4 linked regions of the Caenorhabditis elegans genome follow. The protein of the gene in region 4 purifies or fractionates together with the protein of the main gene of each other region. This does not show direct contact. Each region holds a gene or a part of one and is shown on either strand. Other genes may lie near its edges.

Evidence for each region.
Region 1: the proteins of ZK673.6 (region 4) and F48F5.6 fractionate together in Caenorhabditis elegans (co-fractionation; one large-scale study listed by BioGRID). This does not show direct contact.
Region 2: the proteins of ZK673.6 (region 4) and maph-9 fractionate together in Caenorhabditis elegans (co-fractionation; one large-scale study listed by BioGRID). This does not show direct contact.
Region 3: the proteins of ZK673.6 (region 4) and fbxc-51 fractionate together in Caenorhabditis elegans (co-fractionation; one large-scale study listed by BioGRID). This does not show direct contact.

What each region holds. Positions count from the first base shown.
Region 1 is NC_003283.11:20,447,334-20,452,942, reverse strand, and holds F48F5.6 (uncharacterized protein), read left to right. Parts: upstream 1-2,983; 5' UTR 2,984-2,996; coding exon 2,997-3,193; intron 3,194-4,446; coding exon 4,447-4,561; 3' UTR 4,562-4,668; downstream 4,669-5,609.
Region 2 is NC_003282.8:7,153,437-7,160,656, forward strand, and holds maph-9 (Protein maph-9), read left to right. Parts: upstream 1-3,191; 5' UTR 3,192-3,327; intron 3,328-3,463; 5' UTR 3,464-3,467; coding exon 3,468-3,668; intron 3,669-4,134; coding exon 4,135-4,253; intron 4,254-4,302; coding exon 4,303-4,395; intron 4,396-4,443; coding exon 4,444-4,791; intron 4,792-4,851; coding exon 4,852-4,975; intron 4,976-5,026; coding exon 5,027-5,185; intron 5,186-5,229; coding exon 5,230-5,375; intron 5,376-6,010; coding exon 6,011-6,268; intron 6,269-6,582; coding exon 6,583-6,673; 3' UTR 6,674-6,720; downstream 6,721-7,220. Other genes in the region: C34D4.3 (MSP domain-containing protein), read left to right, coding at 231-338, 379-471, 519-671; C34D4.2 (Serine/threonine-protein phosphatase), read left to right, coding at 1,288-1,341, 1,414-1,563, 1,610-1,998, 2,047-2,362, 2,414-2,494; rpc-1 (DNA-directed RNA polymerase subunit), read right to left, coding at 6,849-6,992, 7,110-7,220.
Region 3 is NC_003280.10:866,671-873,160, forward strand, and holds fbxc-51 (F-box C protein), read left to right. Parts: upstream 1-2,143; 5' UTR 2,144-2,160; coding exon 2,161-2,228; intron 2,229-2,581; coding exon 2,582-2,967; intron 2,968-3,135; coding exon 3,136-4,033; intron 4,034-4,754; coding exon 4,755-4,929; 3' UTR 4,930-5,029; downstream 5,030-6,490. Other genes in the region: Y46B2A.3 (Fibrinogen C-terminal domain-containing protein), read right to left, coding at 18-231.
Region 4 is NC_003280.10:10,460,928-10,466,227, forward strand, and holds ZK673.6 (uncharacterized protein), read right to left. Parts: upstream 3,404-5,300; 5' UTR 3,393-3,403; coding exon 3,319-3,392; intron 3,274-3,318; coding exon 3,117-3,273; intron 3,056-3,116; coding exon 2,887-3,055; intron 2,840-2,886; coding exon 2,631-2,839; intron 2,310-2,630; coding exon 2,238-2,309; intron 2,190-2,237; coding exon 2,016-2,189; 3' UTR 1,940-2,015; downstream 1-1,939. Other genes in the region: ZK673.11 (Protein aurora borealis), read left to right, coding at 1-96, 1,262-1,362, 1,410-1,476, 1,600-1,741; ZK673.5 (uncharacterized protein), read left to right, coding at 580-1,020; sdz-37 (SKN-1 Dependent Zygotic transcript), read left to right, coding at 3,943-4,371.

The sequences.
Region 1 (5,609 bases), on a different chromosome or scaffold from region 4:
ACAAAACAAGTAGAACTTTCTTTTCCAAAATCACGTGGTTTTAGAGTGTCCCATCTTGGTTTGATCTACGTAAGTCTACGAGAATCGCGGGAATTTAGAAAAAAAAATCCTCTGAAAAACCCCACTGAGCCATTTACCCAAAATTTTCCGAAAATGCTTCAAAATTCCAAAAAATAGCTTCTTCTGAAAATATTTAATTATTATTAGTTCTTGAACTTCCTTTACTACGACCTGATATTTTAATTTTTCTTTTTATTTTGTAATTCAATTTTTTCTTGTTCAATAAACTTTTAATCTGAAAACTTATTCAAGAATTCAACTTCGGTGAAGTCTGAGCATTTTTCAAATTTTTGCCCGAATGGCGCAATGGGTTTTTCCAGAACTACCAATCAGAATACCGGGGTTCGAGCCCGCGCTGTGGGGAATATTTTTTCTCGGCAGGGCTAAGGCAATTTCAGTGTGTTGTGTTCGAATTATAAAGTTAGAAAACATGTGTAAACTAGTTTTTCGCTATTTTTTGGAATTTTGACGCATTTTCGGAAAATTTTGGGTAAATGGCTCAGTGGGATTTTTCAGAACTTCCAATCACAAGGCCGCGGTTCGAGTCCGCACTGTGGTCGAAACTTTTTTTTCATTGTTTTGAAATGGTTAGTAAAGTAATTGCGAGATGCTGAGTTTAAATTCTAAAATTTTTTGAGCTTACAAGCAATTAAAAATCGTTTTTCATCACTTTTGAAAATCTTTATTCGAATGGCTCAGTGGGATTTTCCAAAACTTCCTATCACAAGACCGGGGTTCGAGTTTGCATCAAAACTTTTTATTTTCCCATAGTTTTCCACGTCTTTTGCAATGTGTAAAACCACTAAAAAAGTGATTAAAAATTCGAGGTGGGTGCCGACATCTCTCCTGATTTTCTCTCGATTTTCTCACCGAGCCGGAGCCAACTGTTGCCCAGTTTTTGATCTCTCAATCTGTCACACTATCTGCCGTGTGATACCTTTACTACAGAGATAGAGAAATAGGAAAAGTTGTGGGAAGAGGCTCGGAGCACAAGAAGAACCCGAGAATGTTTGCTCTTTTTGTGCTGATCATTTTTACCTCTTACCGCCGGCATACACACACACGCAGAGAGACGGCAAAAAGGTTTGCGGTAATCTGAGAATTTCAAAATGTTCTTCCCCATTCTTTTCTTCCACTGTTTTTTTTTCTAAATTTTAAGAGGTCAAGATCGAACTTTAAAGTCATTTTTGAACTTTGAAACTTGAAATTTTGAATTTAGACCCATCAATTACCCTATGCCCTATGAACGTAGCTTAAAAACCAAGAAAAAACTTTGACCACAGTGCGGACTTGAACCCCGGTCTTTTGATTGGTGGTTGTGGAAAATCCTACTGAGCCATTCGGGCAAAATTTTGAAAAATGCTGAATTTGTGTAATTTTGGGCCTTTGATTCTATTGGAAAAAACATTTCAAAAAAAGGAAATTTCAGCCTTTCAATCTCAATAACTTTTAGCTTTGAGTCGAAATTCAATATACTCATGCTAAATCAGGGGTGCGAATTCGGCAAACCGGCAATTTTCCGGTTTGCCGATTTGTCGGAAGTTTTCAATTCCGGCAAATTGCCAATTTGTCGTTTGCCGGATATCAGATTTGCGGGGAATGTTTAGAGGATTTTTTTTTCAAAAGACGAAAACACTTAAACCTGTGCCCTTTTTAATTTTTTCCCGATTATAATTAAAAATCTGAAATTCCCAAAAAAAATGTGCAAAACCACAATTTGCAGAAAATTTCCGGCATTCCCCGTTTTTCTGGCAAATTCGACAAATCGGCAATTCCAGCAGTTTGCCGATTTGCCGGAATCGTTTGCCGCCCACCCTTGCCCTAAATTACCCCTGCCCGCAGTATTTCAAGATTACTATGGAAAATGTGGTCAAATCTATTTTCTTGGGTTACTGTAGCTTGGTGTTTGCGTACCCAACACCGATTTTGACAGAATTTTGCACTAACGTTTGAAAATTGGGCCATCCGACTAATTTGACGATACAATTCAAATTTTTGAAATTTGAAGTATTTTCATCAAGTTTTGAGCTCTTTGAGCTTGTCAGATTTTCCAAATTACTTATTTTTATTGAAAAATATTGATTTTTTCCGATTTTATTTTTCTTTCAAGTGCGTTCCAAGTAAAATCCGGTACATTTTTAGTTGAACCTCATGGGAATTGCTTCTTGCAAACAACTTTGAATGACATTTTTGACTTGCACTCTTTTTTTGGTGAAATTTTTGGATGGGGAAGAAGAAAACGAAAAAAGAGCGAAGAACAAACTCATTTTTGGTGAAATATCTTATTAGGTTAAACTGGAGGAACTTTTCTTCGTTTTTTTGTGAAATTTTTTTTGAAATTTGGGGTTTTTCCGCTGTTTCAATTTTTCCCAGAGTTTTGAAATTTGAGTTTCAATTTTTTTTTGCATGCTCAAAATCTTTTTGGTAAAAATTTCATTTTAAAAAAATTGCAAAAAAACCTACAATTTCGAATTTTAACAAGATTCAGACTTAAGCTATTATCTATGTCTGAAATCCCAATTTCTAACAATTTTTGAGCTTTAAACCTTTAAAATTCAGATTCAGCACTTTTTATTACCTAACAAGCAACGAAAAAAAAATCGACCACCGTGTGGACTCGAACCCCGGTCTTCTGCTTTGTAGTTCTGGAAAATCCCACTGAGCCATTTGAGCGAAATTTCGAAAATGCCGGAAATTGTCACAGACATTATTCTTGGAATTTTTCGTGATTTTGTATGCTTTAACTTTTTTTGTAACTAATATTGAACGCTTTAATTTTAGTCTTTTTTTTTGTTGATAAAAATTGAAAAAAAATCGAAATTTTCACAATTTTTTTTGTATTTCTTTAAACTTACTATTAAATCCCAATTATTCTACTTTTTAAAATTTTCTTCACAAATTCGCCCACAAAACCTTTTTATAGTCCAGCACAAGCAATGTACCCAGAATATGGGCTGGACGTGGACGAATTCAACCTTGTGCTCATTATTTTCTCGGCCACAGTCGTATTTTTCGCCTTAATCGCCTTAATTTTGATGTACTGCACAATGAGTTGTGGTTGCTGCAGACGAAAGGAAAAACGAAGAAAATTGAGCAATATTCCACAGGTTATGGTTACTCAGCATAGAGACAAGTGAGTTTTTATTGCTAAAATTAGACCGAAAATTGAAAATTTATTTTGTGCAAAATCTCGTCAAATCTGATGTATGGCACTCAAATATCAAGCTACAGTAATCCAGAATACTAGATTTCACGAAATTAAAAAAAAGACCAAAACCTTAAAATTGGGGAATAGGGGTAATTTAGAGTGAGGATTTTGAATTTCGCCTCAATTTTAAAAATGATTAAGAGTGAAAAGCTGAAATTTCAATTTTCAGAAATATTTTACCCATAGAATTAAATATATTAATACCTAATATGACCGCAAATCGGCAAACCGGAAAATTGCCGGTTTGCCGAATTTGCACCCCTGATTTAGAATGAGTATATTGAATTTCAACTCAAAGTTAAAAGTTATTGAGATTGAAAGACTGAAAATTCCTTTTTTGGAAATATTTTTCCCATAGCATTAAAGACCCAAAATTACACAAATTCAGAATTTTTCAAAATTTCGCCCAAATGTCTCAGTAGGATTTTCCATTACCACCAATCAGAAGACCGGGGTTCGAGTCCGCACTGTGGTCATACTTTTTTTTTGGTGTTTAAGCTATGTTTATAGGGCAATCTATGGGCGCTGAATTCAAAATTTTCAGTTTTAAAAATATATTCAAAACTTTTGAGAGTTGAAAAGTATGACAACTTCAAAATATTTGGATTCTGATTTGAAATTTTGATTCCACGTGACAAACTGCACCTATTCCCAAAATTTCTGAATTTTAGTGCAAACCCACTTGAAATTTGGTGTCTGGTAGGGAAATACCAAACTACAGTAACCCGGACACAAAACTACAGTAGAGTATTTTTGAATTGAAATTTATAATTTTTTACTTCTGAAAACTATAAAAAATTCGAATACTCAAAATTTTAGTAGAAATTCGAACTCCGCGTGGCAAAATACATATAACTCTTAAGTTCCAAAAACTTTGTTCAAAACTCTAGGAAATCAAGTACAGTAGTAACCCGGGACACCTGATTTTACGACATTTTGCACTGAAAATTTTGAAAATTATAGTTAGGGGGGATTGTAGAAACTATGTAGCAACCTAGGATCCAAAATCACATTGATTTTTTTGTCAAAATTTATTATTTCAAACAAACTTTTTTTGAAATTTTATGGACAATATCGTTTGATGCCGAGTGTGGTCTAGGGATAATTTTAACGTAAATTCCGATTTCCAGCTCTAAATTTCAAATTTCAAACTTCCAGAATCCATTTTTTGTTTCCAGAACACCCCTATCAATTGACTGCCCAGATTTGGATTACATCGACGCTCGCAACACAAATCTTGTTTCATCAACAGTTCAAGTGGAGTCAGTTCATCAAACCCCAACTCTTTCATAATTTTTGATTTTTTTACTTTTTCCAATGCTTTTATGTGTTCAAAAAATATCATATTTGCTACATGTTTCTAGAAAAAAAATTTTGGATATAAATTTGCTTATTTTGCTAAAATCTCAGAGAATTCCAAAAAATTCAGCCATTTCCAATCAATTTCAAAAAAGTTCAGAAAGCATTTCAGAGCCATTTGAGAAAATTTCAAAAACGCAATTTCCAATTCATTTCAAAAAATTTCAGGGAATATTTGAAAATTATTCGATGATATTACAAAAATCTCAAAAGCATTGCGGTATGTTTTATAGAATCAAAAAACCTTTCAGGAAATTGTCAATGATTAGAGAAATGTTAATACTAATTTAGAGAAACTTGATGAAAGTTTAAGCAGGCCCAGGAATTTTCAATAATAATAGTCAAGTCAAGAAAAGGTGTAAAATTTCAGAAAATTTGAAAATATTTGTAGAATTCTTAACAAAATTTTTTCTAATTTTTGGGAAGAGTTCTGAATTTTTTAAAGGAATTTTTAATGGTGGAGTAGCGTCTGTGGGTTTTTTTGCCCTAAATGACAGAATACAGTCCCAATATACCGAATTTAAAAACATTTTAATTTTCTAAACTTTTTATGATTTTTTCAAAAAAAATCCCGCGCAAATCTGTGACGTCATTTTTGAAATTTTTGCGTTTAAAGGCCAAACTAATTGGTTTTTCTATATTTTTTTTCAAAAAATGAATCAAGATAGAATGAATGACAGAAATTGTTTAGGTGCTCGGATGGGTCACTCTCGCAGAAGAGGTAGGCGGAAAGGAGACAGTTATATGGTGTGCGTCTTTCCACACGTTCACCTCCTTGGCGTCACTCTCTTTGTAAACGCCGTCTTCTTATCGAGGACCATAATTTTTACAGCATCGCTATATTCACCTCTTCCTCTTGTGCAAGTCGTGTTGTGCTTGCCAGTTGGCATCCCCAGTTCATCTCCAGATGTTATCGCGTATGGTCAAAGAAATGGTATGTATTAAATATGTACCAAGTTTGCTTATGTAGCAACTATCTACC
Region 2 (7,220 bases), on a different chromosome or scaffold from region 4:
TCCGCCGAACCGAGCACAAGCTGATCTTCAAAATTTGAGAAGTAAACAGTATTTAAAGTTGCTTTAAAATTTTTGGATTTACGCAGAAATTTAAAAGAAATTTGTTTTAAATTTTCAATTTCGCAAGTGCAAACCTCACGTTTATAAAAAATCCCCCCCCCCCCCTCCCTCTCTGTCGGAAAAAATAAAATTAATCGAAATTTGAATCAGTTCGAGAAAATTACATCGAAATGGGAGTCGAGTTATCGTTGGATCCGCCAGTCTGCCCAATCCAAGCCAATGGTGGTGTTTCTACGCACAAGATCATTAATCACTGCGACAAAATGTTGGCCTATAAGGTATGGAATCCACATTTTATTAAGTCAATTGAATTTTCAGATAAAATCTTCCAATAACTCCAACTACAGTGTCAACACTATCTTTGGACTTATTCAGATTGGGTATACCGCTGATCTGATCATCACTAGAAAGGTATGTAGTAGTTGTCGCCTGGCCTAAAAATTAAACATTTTTTTCAGCCAGGAAAGCCGCAGGCCGACAAGCTTGTTATCCAATTCGCTGCCGTTGAGCAGACTTGCCGTGATGGCTGTATTTGCCAAGGCTGTATTTGCCAATGGACTGCCAACTGGAGAGTGCTGTGGAGAGACGATCATCAAGCTGTCAGCTGCTGAATAGAAGAATTATCACAATAAGATTTGTGATTATGAAAACTTCTCTGAAAATTATGTATTGTGTGTATAAATAAAGTTGAAAGGGGAATGATTTTTTGAAAGTTTGTAGTTTTTATTTGAGAACCGGGAAAATTACAAAAACGACCACCCGCAATGTTTATATTTCGACCATTTTTTGAAAACCGGGAAAGTGTAACCCAAATTTGGTATATACTGTGCCAATATTCTATTCGCTCTCGCTTTTACGGAAAAATATTTTCAACTAACAAAATTTTGCCGTTTTTAAATCTAATTAGTCAGTATTTTTACTTGCCAGACGTTTTTTGGCTAATTTTATAGCAGGAGAGAAAGTAATTATATTTGCATAAGTGTTTTTAAAAAATTGCAAAAATTGAAATTTAGACATTAAATAATATTTTTTAGCAATGGAATGGTCATATTATAATAACATTTTAAACATAAAAACAATGTTGAGTAAAAGATTTAGTTATAAATTACGTGAACTTCATGTTTGCCTTCGAAATCTAACCAAAATCTAACCGTATGACATTCCACGCGTCCAATGACATTTATCAAGATTGATCGGAATATAAATTCAGTTTGAATCTTTTTAACGATGGCAACTCCCGATACTTCGGCTGCGAAAATGGCGGGACAGGATCGTCAAAAGGTACGTGATTTGACTTTTTCTAAAATGAGTTTTCGAACTTTCTTTGACTTTCAAAATAATTGTTATTTTCAGTTAAAAGTTGTTGCATGGTTGCAAAATCTTGTTGAGCGACTGAAAGGATGGACTCCAGGACATTGCCAGAAGCTATTCGATGAGAAGGAGCTCATCCAGCTTTGTTATCGTGCTCGTGAAGTCTTCTGGAAGAACAATGTGAAGTTAGAGGTGTGTACAGACTGCAAAATTCTTTTAAAAAATTAATTTTCTTTAGCTGAAGGCTCCTGTCAAGATATGCGGAGATCTTCATGGGCAGTACGAGGATTTATTGGCCCTGTTGGAATTGAATGGATGGCCTCCAGAGACCAAGTATCTCTTTCTGGGAGACTACGTTGATCGAGGACCGTTTTCGATCGAGGTCATCTCATTGCTCTTCGCCTATCAAGTCCTCCACCCGGACAAAGTTTTCTTGCTCCGAGGAAATCATGAGAGTCGCCCGGTTAACATGCAATACGGATTCTTTATGGAATGCCGTAAAAGATTTTCAAATGCTCTCTACGATGCGTTCCAACTGGCATTCTACTGCATGCCACTTTGTGCAGTAGTCAGCGACAAGATCATCTGTATGCATGGCGGAATTTCCGAGGATTTGGTGGATTTGAGGTTTGAAATTTCGGCAATCAAGGTTTATGCTCATTATTTTGGTTACAGACAACTTGACAAAGTCGAACGTCCCTGCGATGTTCCCGATATTGGCGTCATTGCTGACCTGACATGGGCTGATCCGGATGCCACCATTCAAATGTACGCCGAGTCGCAACGTGGAGCCGGTCGTGTCTTTGGAGCAGAAGCAGTCAAGAAATTCCTGAACACCCATCATCTCGAACTTGTCGTTCGTGCCCATCAAGTCGTCATGGATGGCTACGAATTTTTTGCTGATCGGCAACTCGTCACCATCTTCTCGGCGCCATCATACTGTGGACAAATGGACAACGCTGCGGCAGTTATGACTGTGGATGAAGAATTGGTTAGTTACTTTAACGAACTTTAAAAAATTGTTTACAACTATTCATTACAGGTGTGTTCCTTCACTGTGATGCGTCCGGACTTGAAGAAAGACAAAGAAAAGAAGGCAGCTGTAGGAATTGTCCCCAACTAACAGGCGTGCCCACCATTCAAGGATCAATTTTGAATTAGAACTACTTGATTTTGTATTTACCAATAAATTTTTTGGTGTTTTTTTTGCCCATTCACTGTTTATAGAATAAATTCCTACAGTTAAAATAAAATAATCGCATTTTTCAACCATTTACATTCTCAGATATCATCCAGTGATCTAAGGAAATGAAACAAAATATCATATTTTATATATCATCATCATGATCAAAGTATCATAGTTTCCTCACGATATGAGGAATAACATCTGTGATTTCACTCTGCGGATAGTGTGCTTTTTATCCGGTTTTCATTTAGAAATTATATTTCTTTTATTGTTGTTTTTCAGAAATTTATTTAATATTTCCTATTCTTATTTTATTTGTGCTTCTCACACTTTTTCCCCTTTCGGCCCTATCCGTTTATTTATGCTTGAGAGTTGCGCATTTTCCGATATCAGTAGTTTCTCTAATTATTTGATACGTATACTTTTACATATGCTTCACCTGTTCCCTTGGTAATAACCTTCTTTTCCTCTCATTCTCTCTATCCCTTTACTTCTATTTCGGAAACAGCCAATTAGTGCATATCGAGATATTAAATAAAACGTAGAGACCGCAGAGATATTGTCATATGGTATCCAATGGCAACCGAAAGCATTTACTAGTGCGAAATGTCTCTTTGAGGAATAAGATAGAAATGGAGGATTATAAGAGGTTTAGAGAAAGAAGACAAAAACGAAGGTCTTCTTGTTTAGTTGCTGGGAAGAGCGACTAATAAGATATTCAAGATTTTCAGACAATATCAGGAGGTTGCACACAAACAAAAAGACGTCCCGTGGGTTTTGTTTTTCAGAAATTGTAATCTTCTTCTATTCCATCTCGACCTATCTTCTTCTACTTCTTCTAGTTTTCTTTTTCTCTGTTTTTTTCCGAATGTAATACATATGTGCATAGATTCCAACATGTTCCAGTGAAATGGGCGAATATCAATTACACCAATCTCGTAATTTGAGTGTCAATCAGACCCTTGATGAGATTCTGGGAATCAGTAGAAAATCAGAAACAACCACAACATCAAGTGGCTCAAGTGGAGCTGAAAAGAATGCATTGAACTCTCCGATCCGGCCACCAACAAGACATGGTAGAGAATCATCGGGAAGCAATGAAGAAAATAAAGTATGTTTGACATTAAAATTATTTTAAAAAAAATTTCACTATTCGGAAAAACTAAATCCTTTTTTCTACGTGCTTGAAATAGGCGGTAGGCATATAGGTAGGCAGGGATTAGGCAGGCAAGTGTCTACTATGTAAGCCCTAGAAAAACCAAAATCATACTATCAAGGTGATAAATGTGTGCTCACAAAACGTGTCTGAAATGGCAGTTCAAAGTGCAATATTTTGCACTTTCAAAGTAAGGTCACAAAAATGATTGTCTACATCCGTTTTTGCCATAAAAAGTGGATTCGTCTTATGATTTTGCCAATACCTGTTACAAAGAATTCCAATAACTTAAAAAATTGTTAGTTCTAGTGTAGAAAACCTAGCTAACGAAAAAAGAAAAATCTCTAGGAATTTCAAAAAATTTCAGTCCAATGCCAGATTTCAGTAACAATTAAACTGTGATAATTGGAATAATTTTCAGGATCCGATTCAACTGGAGAATGGAAATGGATCAACATTGAGCTTTCTAACATCTTCTTCATCTGCTACGTCATCAACTGCTGCTAGACGAAATTCAGATGATGATTTTATAAAGAAATTGTGAGCTATTCTCACCTTTAAGTATTTTTCAGCAATCATAATTTTTCAGAAATGATATCAGGCGTCGCTCATTGATTTCTACAATGGATGCAACATCTACACCAACTACATCTGTTCCAATTCATTTTGATTCTCCGAGACGGTAAGTTCTTAGAAACATTGAATATTTTTAATTTGGAGTTTACTTCAGAGAGTCTCGTCCTTGTCTCGAAATTCACGTAGAAGAATCGCCAGAAGAACTTTCAACGCATGCTGTAGAGATCACCGAGTTTCATAGAGACTTGTCGGAAAATTCATTGGGTACAAGTACAGATCATGAAGATCCGAGTCTAACCTTCAGAGTGGATAAAGAATTGGAACAATCTGAATCTAAGAAGACAACTAAAAGGCCTGCAAGTGGAGTTAAGAAAACACTGAAAGCTTCGATTTCTATTGATGCTCCGAAACCAAAACCTCGACCTCGCCCTCAGACCTCAGCAAATTTGTCTACAAAAACAATCAAAGACAAAGATCAAGAGATGATGCAAATGTCTATGTTGTAAGCTATTTTCTTAAATTTTAATTACATGAGGGGAAGCTGCCAATTTTGATTTTCCAGCGGGTCCAAGTTAAATAAACCTTCTGATGCTCATCACAAGGAATGGCTTCAGAAGAAGGAAAGAGAAATTCGGGAGAAAAAGGCAAAAGAGAAAGCTGCAGCAGAGCAGAAAGCTGCAACGGAGGTACCGTAGTTTTAATATTTTTAAACGGAATTGTAACCAACTTTGTTTCAGAAAGAACGTCGTGAAAACTCTGCAAAGTTGTATCAAAGATGGGTTCAGGATCATGATAAAAAAGCGAAGGAATTAAAATCGAAGAAAACTCAACAAGAAAGGAAAAAATCTGAAAATGAGAAAACAACGCAAGATCAGAAACTGAAAGAAGCTGAAAAGGTACTCAACATTTTAAATAAATCTAATAAATAATTGAAATTTAGAATTATGAAATGTGGAAGCGGGAACGTTCGAAATCTGTAACAGATATCAGAAAGAAACTGGAGCAAGAAGAAGACAAGAAAAGAAAGAAAGAGGAAGAAGCTAAAAATGAAAAGATCAAAGAAGCACAGGCAGCTTTTCTAGCATGGTTAGTTTTACGGATTGATAAACTACAAGTGACTTTTCGTTTGTGCTCCGAAGAATATGATATGGTTTTTTACAATATTAATTCTACAATTAGTGATTGTTCGCTGAAATCTCAAAGAAGGCTCCACCGATATCTTGGATTTTTTGGAGTTTTTTCTCGCATATAATCTGCATATTCTGAACAATTTTTGTGATATCCTTCTATATTCTTTGTGGATCATATTATGCACAGATGAAAAATTTATCGATTTTTGCTCCAAAAGTACGGTACCAGGTCTCTAAACGATTTGTTCTCTTGAATTAAACAGAGCGTGTGTAATTTAGGAGTACTGTAGTTTTATTCTCCCGTTTCTTCAGTATTTTATGTATTTTAATATATTTACCATTTTTCAAAGAGTTTTGAAGAAACCGAAGAACAAGTATAAAAAAATCACTGTAAATTTCTCAACAACGAGAAGTTGTCAACTACAGTACTTTTTAAAGGCGCACACTCTTTTGCATTTGAGAAAAGCAGTCGTTTCAAGACCAGGTATTGTTTCTTGGGGCAAAAATCGCAAATTTTCGAATATGAGTAATAATACAAAGCCACGAGAAGCCAAGCTTTGTTAAAAATTTGAAACCGAAATATTTTTCCAGGAAACGGAAAAAGGAAGAACTATTGAATGAAGAAGCTGAAAAGTTGAAAAAGGAACAAGTTCAAAAACAATTGGAAGAATCTGAAAAAATGACAAGATTGTCGTTGGCTAATGAAGCATACGAAACATGGATTGAATTGAAAGAATCGGAACGAGAGTTTATTGCCGATTTTGTGCTTATTGAAGCTCCGCCGATTCCATGGCTTCCACCGAGTAATTTGATTCCAAGGCAATTCGTGAGATCGTCGAATGGAAATCGGTTAGTTTTGTTATTAATGCCTCTTTTGAAATCAAATTGCAAACGCGCTTCACGGCTAATTGAAAGCTCCGCTTTTGGATAATGGGTCTCGTTAGGTATTTGGCGGCAAACCCAAAAATTCAAACGTTTTTGATTAATTTCGCCTAAATATTTGTCGTCTTTTTTTGTAATGTTTTCCGTTGTTAATGATTTATAAGTCGAAACGTTCGTAGGTAGAGCTTATTCAATTAGCCGTGGAGTTCGTTTCCTGTCAATTTCAAAAGCTGATTTTTCTGCCTACATACAAGTTTAAAATCATTAACCTTATGTTTCAGTCTTCGCGCACGGTCTCAATCTGCTAAATCCATTGCAAAACGATCGAGAAGTCGTCCTGGCACTACAACTTCTTTGCGCCCATTTCGTTAAACTGTGATAACGAATTCTATGAAATCAATAAACTTATGTTCTTTCAACAACAACAAAAATAATAACAAAAAAGCGAACGGGTTGAAACAAAAAAGTTAAATATAAAGAAAGGTATCTAAATAACAAAAATGAGTAAAAGTCTGGGTGGTAAAGAAAAAGTATTAAATCGAACAAATTAAAGAGTGACGTTCAGACGTTCGAAAATCGGCGAATTCTGTTTAAGAACGGCTTTCTTGTCGTATTTCTGCATCAATTTGAATGTACCGGTTCCGACAGTCATTGGGGTTCCCATAATAATACACTCCGAAACTCCATGAATCTAAAAAAAGTTCAATAAATTTTCTACAATTAAAACAAATTAAAAAAAATCGAAAATATTTGGGTTTTTATTTTTTCGATTTATAAACTTTAATAGGAAACTATAAAATTTACTTACCACGTCACGTTGAGAGAAAAATGCAGCTTCAAACAAGTGATCCATCGTTTTTTCGAAGGAAGCAAGTAAAAGTACGGAATCTTTCATTTTAACGAGACCATTACGAGTGAT
Region 3 (6,490 bases), 9.6 Mb from region 4:
AGTAAATAAATGCTTACTACGATCGCACACAATGGCGATCCCTGTTGGAACGTCGCTCGTATTGACGTTGTACTTGATTTGAATCCCAAAAACTTTTTCAGAAGGGCACAATGAGACGGGTTGCCAGGGACCATCGGAAACCAAACGCTTCAAAGGGTAATACCCTGTTTGATAGGCATGTGCGACAACAAAGACGGTGACCAACACAAGGAGGGACTTGTAGCCGTTCATAATGTTGAGTAATAGATCAAATATTCGAATATTTCTCTCTTTTATACTGTTAAAACGTGGAAACGTGTTCTTTTAAATTTTTAATTAATTTTTTTTTGAATTTCCGTACTAGTTCCATGTCTCAATGACCGATAGACGCATTTTCCACGCTGTTGACTAGCGCGTCAAGCGCGCTAGGCTTCGCAGTAGTTTAAGTTGGAAAACTCGGGAAAATTTTGATCATTTTGAATGAAAACTGATTGAGCCATGGTCATTTGAGATAATATTATTTCTGGGTCTTTTCTATCCGTGTATTCGGGCCTGCGGCCCTCAACCTGGATTATTGGGCTCAGAGTAGGCTTAAAGATTGTCCAATACTTCTATGTGTATTTGGGCCTGCAGCCCTCAATCCGAATTAACTGATCTTTTCAAATACAGACGTAGTCTCATAAAAGTCCTCCAGCCTGCTCTGCTGGAAGTAGGGATAGAAAAAGCCTAAAGTTTCTAAGAGTAAGCAGGCAGCCCTTATCCCTGATTTTTGGATTTGAGTGAAATGAAATAGCATTTGGCCTGTCCTGCTGAGGTTAAAAGTGGCCATAATGTTCAAAAAGTGCGGTCCTCAATATGATTGGAGCTATTGAAACAAATTGCTCAAAAAAAAACGCCAATCCTAAGCTAAGATATAAGTTCTCAAAGTGCAGTCACATTTCTCGGGACACCTCATGTCGAAAACGTGCCCTTATTTTTTATTTCTGTCAAGTGTGCAATTTACGGATTTAATATAGGAACACTTGAAAGCCCGGAAATGTCGGCTGCGGTTCTTGGTTGATTTTTTGTTAATACAAGCTTGAAAAATCTTGTGAGATGTCTTCTACTGTTTCGACATTTTGAAAGGAACCGGGAAAGTGTCGGCTGCAAACAAAGTTGATATTAAAGTCAGCATCCGACATCTCAATGGATGTGGCCAATTTTGAAATGGAAGCCTGTGCTAATGCACCATGATAAACCCGAATAAAAGGGCACTGAAGATCAATTTTCATTCTTTTTTTCGCATTTTTGGCGACCCAATATCTACCAATTTTCCAGCGTAAAGTTAATTTTCTGCCTGTTTTTTTTTTGCAAACACGGCAAATGTTGTAAACAACATATTAGTATCAAGGTCAGATTTGGTCCAAACCAGCATGATTCTTGCCCCCCTCTACCCTAAAATAGTTTGTCAAATAGAAGCCTCAATTGATTTTTCACATGAAAATTTTTCAAATACCAACTTAAAAATATCATAACTCAGCTGAAAGTTGAGCTAGCAAAAAGTTTTCCACCAACAAAATGTTTGAAAATTAATTTGAAATATTTTTGTAGTTGACAACTTTTCAATAGCTCAATTTTCAGCGGAGTTATGAGCTTTTGAACTAATTTTTCACAAAAAAAATCTATAGAATCTCTTTTATTCTAATTCTCCATTCACATCAAGTAGTCCGGGTACGTGTAGGCTCTCTATAGAGGACCGATGCTCAAGGTCAACAGAGATAAACATTCCCGCCCCGTCTGCGACAGATGGACAGAGGTCACCTAGTTATTTAGGGTAGTCTAATGGTCCCTATTGCCTCTCCAACGGGGGTATGTAATAGGGGGAAGACGGACAATTATTGGGTATTTTCCACAAGTTTTGAACTATTTTTTGGCTGTTTTGTCCGATTTCTGACAATTTTTGGACTATTTCTAGCTATTTTTCGACTATTTTTTTATATTTTCGTTGAAATTTTGCTATTTTTGGCTACACTCTGGCAATATTTTACTACTTTCGAATGCAGCTTTACTACTTTTTGGAAATTTGTTTACTAGATCATAGTCATTTTTTGTCAGTTTTTCACAATTTTCTCGTTTCTTTCAACGTTTTTCTCACTTTTCGCACCAATTTCCCACTTTTTTACAGGTAATAAATACCTACATATGAGCTTAACACCACTCCCATATGAGTGCCAGAAATGTGTACTACAGTTCTTTGAAGCTAATAGGAGGTATGCTTTTATTTTTTTTTGGAATTCTGATTGTAGAGCTGAAAAAAGTTTTTGAAAAGCTATTAAAGTTTAAAAAGAGTTTGGAATATATTTTAGTAGGTTACTTTTTCAGAGCAAAAGTTGATAAATTTACAGTCGATGCATCATGTTTTCCTCAACTTTAACAGCTCAAAATTCAATTTTCTTTGTGTAAAAATTTATTAAAACGGGCTTCGGTAGAAGTATAATAACTTAAGCAATTTTCTGTCGATGAACCATGTTTTGCTCAAATTTTGAGCCGTTCCTAGAAGTGGGGCAGCTACCAATATTATTTTTACTTTTAAACACCTATCAACCTACTTAAAATATTCCAGATTTAAATTAGTGGAACGATGTGACTCCCTAAAAGCAGCCGACAAAGCTGCTCCCCTCCACATCTACAAGCTCTACATGAATCCCCGTGTCATCCGAATCAACCGACATAGGTACACGTTAGGACTGCTCCGCCACCTACCGAAAGACCATGTCTACTATAGTCCATATATCAACAATGTGAACTTAGATGGAGGTGCTGCCTATGATATGGATCAGTATGGGCTTAAGGATCCCCGCTGCAATGAGGTTTTGAGCCCTGGAGATTTGAAAGTTGAAAGCAAGGAAAAAATTAATAATATGGAGGATATGACAATGGAGATGTTGCAATTTGCAATGCGGGATTTTATAAGACCACAGGGGCGGATGCAGGTGCAGCAGAGGGAAGGTAGGTGATAAGGAGTCCAGTGATATGTCGGCTGCTGTTTAAGAAAATTTAGAGCACTATCTCAGTTGACAAATTTGTGATAGCTTGATTTCTAGCTGAAATATGATAGCTTAAAGTGTTTCGGCGGCCAATTTTTGTTTCGGAAAATCTCAAAAATATATTTTTCAGACCCTGAAAGCTCTTCCGAAGATGATGAGGATGAAGCAGAAGATCTTCCAGCAGAAGGATCAGATGATGAAGACGATGACCCCCAGGAAGCTCAGATCCGGCGTATCCTCGGCGACGCTTACCTCCCAAGAGCACGCTATTCATCTTCAGAATCCGAAGCATCTGAATCCGAAGACGAGCCAGACATAGATCCAGCAGTCACCGACCAACTCGAAGCATACACGAATCCATACAGCTGGCGAGAGGAAAATGAACCAGCTCCATACAGATTTGGCATCAGATTCCAAAGGATGAACTTAGACTTCAGGCGGGACAGGGAGACTTTCCATGGGATCATTGAGTATCTGGATTATAACAAGAAAATGTATGATGCGATGAAGTATATCACAGAGAAGTTGTTCGGAAAAAGAGCTCACCCAATTGTGATAAAGACCCTGGAGCTTGGTGATGCAGGTGGGGTCTACCGACTCCCCGAGAATTTTAAAGTGAAAGTTTCCAATATGAGATTTGGTACGGAGTTCGGACTGCTTTGGGATGGTCTGAACAGTATTTTCCACGAGAGCACTCTGCCTTTCAAGAGCTTGCATATGCCTCTAGAGCACGACCACCCAGTTATCCATGCCACCCAGCGTCTGGTTATCGGAACTGAGAAAATGTTTGGGGAGAACTTTGCCTGGATCCCTTTCCTACTGAAGCTTCCACAGAAGAATGTCTACATGCTTCATAGTCCACTGTTCCATCATGACTATGTGCAGCTGATTGATAATTGGATCGAGACACCGAAGAGTATTGGGACCTGCTTTACGTTTGGTGTTAAGCAGTATCACGCCACCCAATCCACATTGAACTTGCTCGGGGATCATCCGATGGTTGTGAGCAAGAGGATGGAGGGAGTAGAGTAAGTTCGCAAAATTCAGGATGCATCGATGCACCAGCTGGAAATTTGGAGCTCCGATGCACCATGTTTTTAGGGAAAAGTCGACAAAAAATCTTCATTTAGTTTTTATTTGAACATTGCACTGATATGTAATACATCGAAATTTGAGTTTGAGGCTCTTTAAATAGATACAAACTACCTCACTTGTGCTTTTTCGAACTTTTCAAAAGCCCGTGAAGTGTCGGCCGCTGTAACTTTTCTCCTGGTAGAGCTAGTGGAAAGTTGTCAACTACAAGATTGTAGATGCTATTATTTGCAACGGTTTTGCAGTTGAGCAATTTTATGAAAGTAGTTGGGTTTTTGAGTTATGCTCTTTCGAAATTAGTTGTTTTTTTTTTGCAAAATTATCCAAAAACTAAAACTCAAATTTCTAACAACTTTTACAAAAACTTTCGTGTTGCAAATGCGTTGCAAAAATTCTGACTTACAATTTCAAATTTTTCTGTGGCAGAACCTGTTCTGCGGCGCGCAGGTTCGATTTTATGCAAAAATTTTTTTTTGAAGTTTAGCATTACACCTCAACTATGGAGGCTTATATCTTGATGGAAAATTGTTTACTGGCAAAATAATAAATATTACTTTCACTATAATTTTTTATTAAATATTCTAAAATTATCTAATGTACATACTAGTTTATAAACTTCCAAAGTTGGACTCTTCCCAAATTTTCCTTTTTTTCCAGCTGCACCGAATTCCCTCACTGCTTCAACATCCCGCTGACCTATGAATCCGAGCTTAATGTCTACGGTAAGAAGAGAACTGAAAACTTGGACCCTTTGGAGTTTATGCCACATGTCAGTTGGTGCCTGGTCTTCGAAGTGATGCCAATTGGAAGCGCTTTACCATTGGAGGACTGATTTTTCAATTTGCTAATTTTTTTTTTCAATTATGTCTTGTTGTCGTGTTTTTGATAATCTGAAATTTGTTGCGTGGATTTTAATAAAATGTTTTTTTGGTACTAAAAATGTTCCTAAATTTTTCTATATTTTGCTAGTTACCGGCTCAACGAAGGTGGTATATTTTAAAATCTGAATATCTGTAAATCTACAAAAGTTAGCAAAAGATTGTCAATTAACAAAATAATCTACGCAAATTGTTCTATAAGTTGTTAATTTACAAATTTTTTGTAGCTCAACTTTGAGCATAGTTATGATAGCTCTAAGTAGGGACAGGTTACCTGATTTTTATCAATTTTAAAACTTAAATATCTCCAAAAGCATCAAAGCTAATAAAAAATGTTGGGTATCTACGTGTACCTTACCCTTAACGTGGATATGAAGATCGTGTAACGTGAACTCATTATCTATGTATACTAACTTTCTATTTATTCCTTAGTTATGTAATAATAAACTACTCGTCTTCGCCTCCTTGTTCGGCCTCGAATATATAACATTGGCGATCAGGATCTTTCGGGCTCACTGCACCACTGACTTCATGCACATGTCTACTTAGAAGAAAAGACCTCTGAGGTATTGTTTTGATCTACACATGTCTACTGGGAAGAAAAGACCTCTGAGGTGGATCAGGTCAGCTTTGGGAAGAGGCACCTGCCGTGCTCTCTGCAGTTGCAGTCAAGGTGGACAGGAGCGGCTTCTGGTTTGAAGTCGAAAAGAAGAAGGAATCATTGCTCAACTCTTTTGAAGATGCGAGTGAAGGCCACCTATGCGTTTCAAATGCTCAGTCATTGGACGATTGCACAAATTGTTATTGGTCATAACATGATCCACAACCAGGAACTGGGATACAACAGGTTGATGGTGGAACAGGCGGAATCAGTGTGGATGATTCAAGGTTGGGTCTAATATTCAGGCAGCAACGTTTTTTTAGTCTGTTGGTGAAGGGTGGATAGACATCAAAAATATTTCGATTGGTACGGGAAGTGTGGCTAACTTGGAACCCGCAATTGGAGGATGTGAACACCGAAGTACCGTGTGCAAAGGATTGGCAATATCGACGGTCACACTGGAGGGTGGTCCGTGAGAACCTCAGAAGACATTCGTGGATGGCTCCTCACCAAAGCTCTCGTTTGTCATTGAAGAGGGGAGATGTTGGGTATCTACGTGTACCTAACCCTTAACGTGGATATGAAGATCGTGTAACGTGAACTCATTATCTATGTATACTAACTTTCTATTTATTCCTTAGTTATGTAATAATAAACTACTCGTCTTCGCCTCCTTGTTCGGCCTCGAATATATAACAAAAAATTAATAACAGGCAAAATGATTTACACAACTTTCTCTATATTTTCTTAGTTGACAACTTTTTAATATCTCAACTTACCGCAGAGTTATGACGGCTCAAACTAACCTTGGCTCGCTGCCAATTTTCCCACGTTCCTCCTCCTCCTCCCCCTACCCGAACAGTCTGCCCCCAAAACTGTGTCTGCGTCTCCTTATCGCGTCCCGTCATCTAACA
Region 4 (5,300 bases):
TACGAAGATAGATATTCCCGAAGCCATTTTGAATGATAGAGATGATATATTGGACCGAGAAGATGATCACAATGAAGATCAAGTTTCTATTTATGAGTGAGTTTTTAAATTAATTCTTGCATGCTATATTTTTGTTTCAAAAGTTGCTTCTCAAATAACTCATAAATTATATCTCTCATATACAAAAAAATTGGACTCCGTATTAAAATTAAAGTACGGTTCTCAAAATATTTTAATTAATATATTTTTCAAATTACTTGATGAACTCACTTCCCAGTTGTCAATTCAATCGTCATCTCTTTCCTTAACAACCTTGTCGATAATACCAACCCTCCTCTGGAACAAAAGACCATGTACCAGTTTCGCATTGTAAAAGGTGCAAGGTATCCCCCACCTATATCTACTTGTATCTCATAGTGGGAAGAAGGTCGAACGCTGGTTAATAACCAAATGGGGCGTGGTCTACCGGACCGTATATATATGAACAACCGGAAGAATAAGAATCATTCATTCTGGAAATCTTCCAGTTGTTAGCTACCTAACTCTTTCTTTCCCCTACTTTCAATTCTTGCTTTCAAAATGGAGTACTCTTACATTCCATCCGCAGCTCTTTACAACAATGCTGATATTTTCCAATTCTTCCCTCGGAACAAGCGTCTCAATTCTCATCAAAAGTCTCGCCTTGATGAGCATGCTCGGAAAATGGCTGCTTTCATGATGGAGAGACAAGAAGAATACCGCTACTACGAGAACTTGGCCAATCAGGAACAGTTCTCCGATGACAATGGAATGGAATCAGGATTCTGCAGTGGAGCCACTTCAACTGGACAATCAGCTTCAACATCTCCTGCTCCAGTTCAGCTCATTCCAAACCCATTCTTTGATCCAGAATATGTTGCTGCCAAAACTCAGTCTCCAGTGAAGCTCGTCACCAACCCATTCTTCAATCCAGAGCTTGTCGAGGAAATCAAGAAGAAGTCCCAGAAGAGAAACGAGAAGTCTGCTCCTGTTTCTGCCTAGTTAAAATTAATTTTCTGTTTATTTTTTTTGTACCTTTGTATCGTTTTGGCTTTCGTACTGGTTCCAATTTTCGTGTACCCCTTGAAATTTTTTTCCGGTTTTCCTATTTCTACTTCTTTTTTGTTCTTTTTTTCTTGGATTTTTCTAATATCAATAAAGTAATATTTTTTAAATGAGTTTTTCCAACATACCTAGCTTTCATAGCGTTTAAGATAAATTCAAAGTTAACAATCAATTTCAGATTCTCCCGAGTCTCTGATCCAAATTCTGAGCATTCTTCATCAAACTCCATCAGTGATAGCTTCTATTTGAACAATTTTGATGTGATATCTTCAGCAGCTAGTGAGTATTACACAGTCCCCCTCAACAAAATTAAACAAAACTTTAAGATTCTCAAATCTTCGAAGCGAGTATATGCGGGGAATCTGATGTGGCATCGAAATTTCAGCTTCACAGGTAAATTGAGTTTTGTATTGATTCTTAGTTTTTTAATATAAAACTGAAAGTTATCAGAAAAATTTTTATTTCTCATCGGAAGATGCTTGCTTACTTTTAAATCAAATCAGAATGTATATTCAGAATCGAAGAAGAGTCCGAAAACGGCGATGAGCAAAGTTGTGCGGGAGCCCATGATCCACTGATCAACAGTATGACCCATAGTCCTTCTCAATTTTTTCCACGGAGTATCTCACAACAATTTGATATGATGAGACTACAATAAATGTGTTTTGTATTATTATAATTCTGCTTTGAAACGGGAACTAATAATATTGATTTATCAAATATATACGAGAAGTGTTATTGTGTGGTTCCATTCTTTATTCAAAATCACTCGTACTGGTGTGGATAAATATCAAATCATTGCTTTATAATTATTGTTCAACTGTTATGCTTTTGAATTAAAAAGAAACAAAATATGAAATTCCAATATATTTATTTCAAAGCCTTATATTAGAATTTCAATTATGATAATATCTTTTGTACACATTCAAACTTCATTTTTTCTTCAAATCTTTCACTGTTCCCATCATGCTCTTGTTCTTCTTGTTAGTGCTTCTGGCAACAGTCGTCGTCTTGCCCTTTTTTTGCTGTCTCTTGCTGTCTCGCGTCATCCATTCCTTTATAACGCCACTTCTAACGGCTGTCAGGGCGCTAATAACCACAAGACCCTGAAAATTAGAAATAATTTTCAGTAAAGGCTCAAAAATAAAACGAACCTGTTTGAAGTGGCGATTATGAAAATGTCGACCAGCTCGGACGTACTCCTTCAGATTGTCCAATTCACGGCACTGTAAAAATTGCACTTATACAAAAATTTTCCTTTCTAAATTTTCCAACAATATCTTGGGGATTCTTTCTACATGCCCATGAAAAGCTTTTAAAGTTGCAACAATTTTACAAAAGTAGTTGTGGAAGTTAACTTGCCCACGGGTTTTGTTTGACACTTGGATCCCGTTGCAGTACGTGATTTTTTTTTCAATTTCAGAAAATATGTCGTGACACTAAATTACAAAACAGCACGTATTGTTGCGATTTCCAGATTTCAAATTGCGATAGACCAAGTCGTCAAGCTTTGCCAAAAAAATAACAAAACTCCCTTCTAAATTCACCTGTTCATCTAATGTATGCACTGCCTTATGGTATTTTGTGCATTGATCTCGAAGGTCTGGAAGAATCTGTGTCTTTTCCACTTTCTTTCTTCTACGATTGCACGTCTTCACAGTTTTCTCCACATCACTGTACATCTTCTTGATCTTATCACAATAAAATACTGTCGTTGTGTAGATGTTTGAGTCATGGTCCACATTTTTGATATCATCTGTAAAAAGTTTCAATAGAATAGGAGAAATAATTTTGTTTTCCTACAGAAATGTTGCTCCTCCTTGTGGCCCATTTTTTCACACAATTCCGCAATCATATTGGCTTCCGCCTCGTTCTTCTTGATGAACTCGACCTTCTTCAAGTATGCCGGCATGTATCTCCAACCGCTGTTGGGAACCTCCGTTTTATCAGAGAAGTGATAACTTGTTCCCGACTGAAAATTCATGCATTAACACGTGTACTATTTGAGTTGGCTCCGCTATTCAAAATCTTACAATGCACATTTTCTCAAGCCCGACGGTGACGCCTTGCATGACATCAAGGTACTTGATAATCCACTCAATATCACTGGAGAACTGTTCGTTCAGGTTAAATTGATCCTTGTTAAGAATTTTACCGACGAAGTTCGCGTCCTCTATCTCTGAGCTTTCTCTATAATATCTCAGATTGCGAAGAATAAAATTCTTATGAACTTACGGATTATTAGACTTTGGGTTCTCTTCAGCAAGATTAGATGGGCTCACAGGAGTGCTGGTCGGCAAATTTGACATTTTTGAAAACTGATTGAGTATTGATTTGGAATACGAGATTGAGTATTTCCACGTTTGTCTTCGAAAAAATAAGTTTTCACGAATAAAAATTAATAATCTATTTTATTTGTTTTTTGTAACTAATTTTTCTAGCATTAATGCCAATTGGCGAAAAATATTTCCGAATTCGCTGGTCCAATGATCCTATTCTCCAAAAGCAACATCTTTGCTCAGTTTTACTGTTGTTGACCCCATAAATTAGCTATTTTCCCAGATATGCCGGAAATTGTGTTCATTTCTAATAACCTTGTTTGCCAATGTTATCGTCACCCCGTCTGGAAAAATACCATCGTAAAAGGTGCAAGGCATCCCCCACCTATAATTCCTTGTGTCTCATAGTGGGAAGAAGGTCGGCCCCGCTGGATAATAACCAAATGGGGCGTGGTCTACCGGACCGTATATATAAGGACAACCGGAAAGAAATAGTATCATTCATTCTGGAAATCTTCCAGTTGTTAGCTACCCAGCTCTTTCTTACCGTCTACCCTTTCTCTCAATTCTCACTGTCAAAATGGAGTACTCTCAAATTCCATCCTTCGCATTCTACAACAATGCTTCCATCTTTCAATTCTTCCCTCGAAACAAGCGTCTCAACACTCATCAGAAATCTTGCCTTGATGAGCATGCTCGAAAAATGGCTGTTTTCATGATGGAGAGGCAAGAAGAGTACCGTTACTACGAGAACTTGGCCAATCAGGAACAATTCTCCGATGATGCCTGCTTCAGTGACACTGGAATGGACTCCGGATTCTGCAGTGGAGCCACTTCAACTGGACAATCAGCTTCAACTTCTCCTGCTCCAGCCCATCTCATCCCAAATCCATTTTTTGATCCAGAATATGTTGCCAAGGCTCAATCTCCAGTGAAACTCGTTGCCAATCCATTCTACAATCCAGAACTTGTCAAGGAAATCAAGAAGAAATCCCGTGTTTCAGTTTAATATTATTAATTATTTTTATTTATTTTTCCTCAAACAGTTTAGTCGGTTTTTCTGATATCCAGGTTCGGTTTTTATAATTGTACTTTTTCTTGGAAATGATTACAAAATTTCTGTCCGGTATTTTTTCTGTATTGGTTTTCTCAATTTTTAACAACTGTACTTTTACTCAATTGTTTTAATAAATTAATCAGACTAATTAAAAGTTGTTTTTCACTTCAAACGACCACGCTTTCAATACTAATTGAATACAATACATTTCTGAATAAAATTTTTTTGCTAGTTCCACCATCGAAAATTCCAATTACTCCAATTACTTTAAGCTAGTATTTTGTAGCACATTCGTTTTTTTCAAAATTTTCAGATGATTGATTGATTTATTTAACATAACTAATGCAATTTACAACTGTACAATTGAATTTTGAGTGTTAAATAAAACGGTAAAACGAGACTAACCCAGAAAGAGTACGTCTCGAGTTTGGGACGGGAAAGGAGAGAGAGGGTAATGTGGTAGAAGAGATCAGTTAGAAGTCAAAGAGAACCAGCGGATAAAAGTTAATACCGGGGAATATTGAGATCGAGAAAACTTGAAAACTGATAGGGGGAGAGAAATACCGGTATATTTTTGACAAGATTGTTCCAAATAGGAATGGATTTGGCAAAGAAATGAGAGGTGCATGTGTCTTTCCTAACCAGAATCATGGGTCTCCTATTGGAATTAGAGAACTTGACAAACTGAGTTAATTTAGAGAAATGAGTAGAACCGGTAAGAAGTCTATATAATAGTTTCATTTGAGCTTTAATTCTAGTGTGTCTGGTGGAGAATAGTTCCATGATGCACAGTCTGTTTTCGTAAGAGGTGAATTTAACGTTGCACCTTTGCAGGACGCGGTTGGTGAAGGTCCTAAGCGGTTTTTCAAGTATGGCAGAGA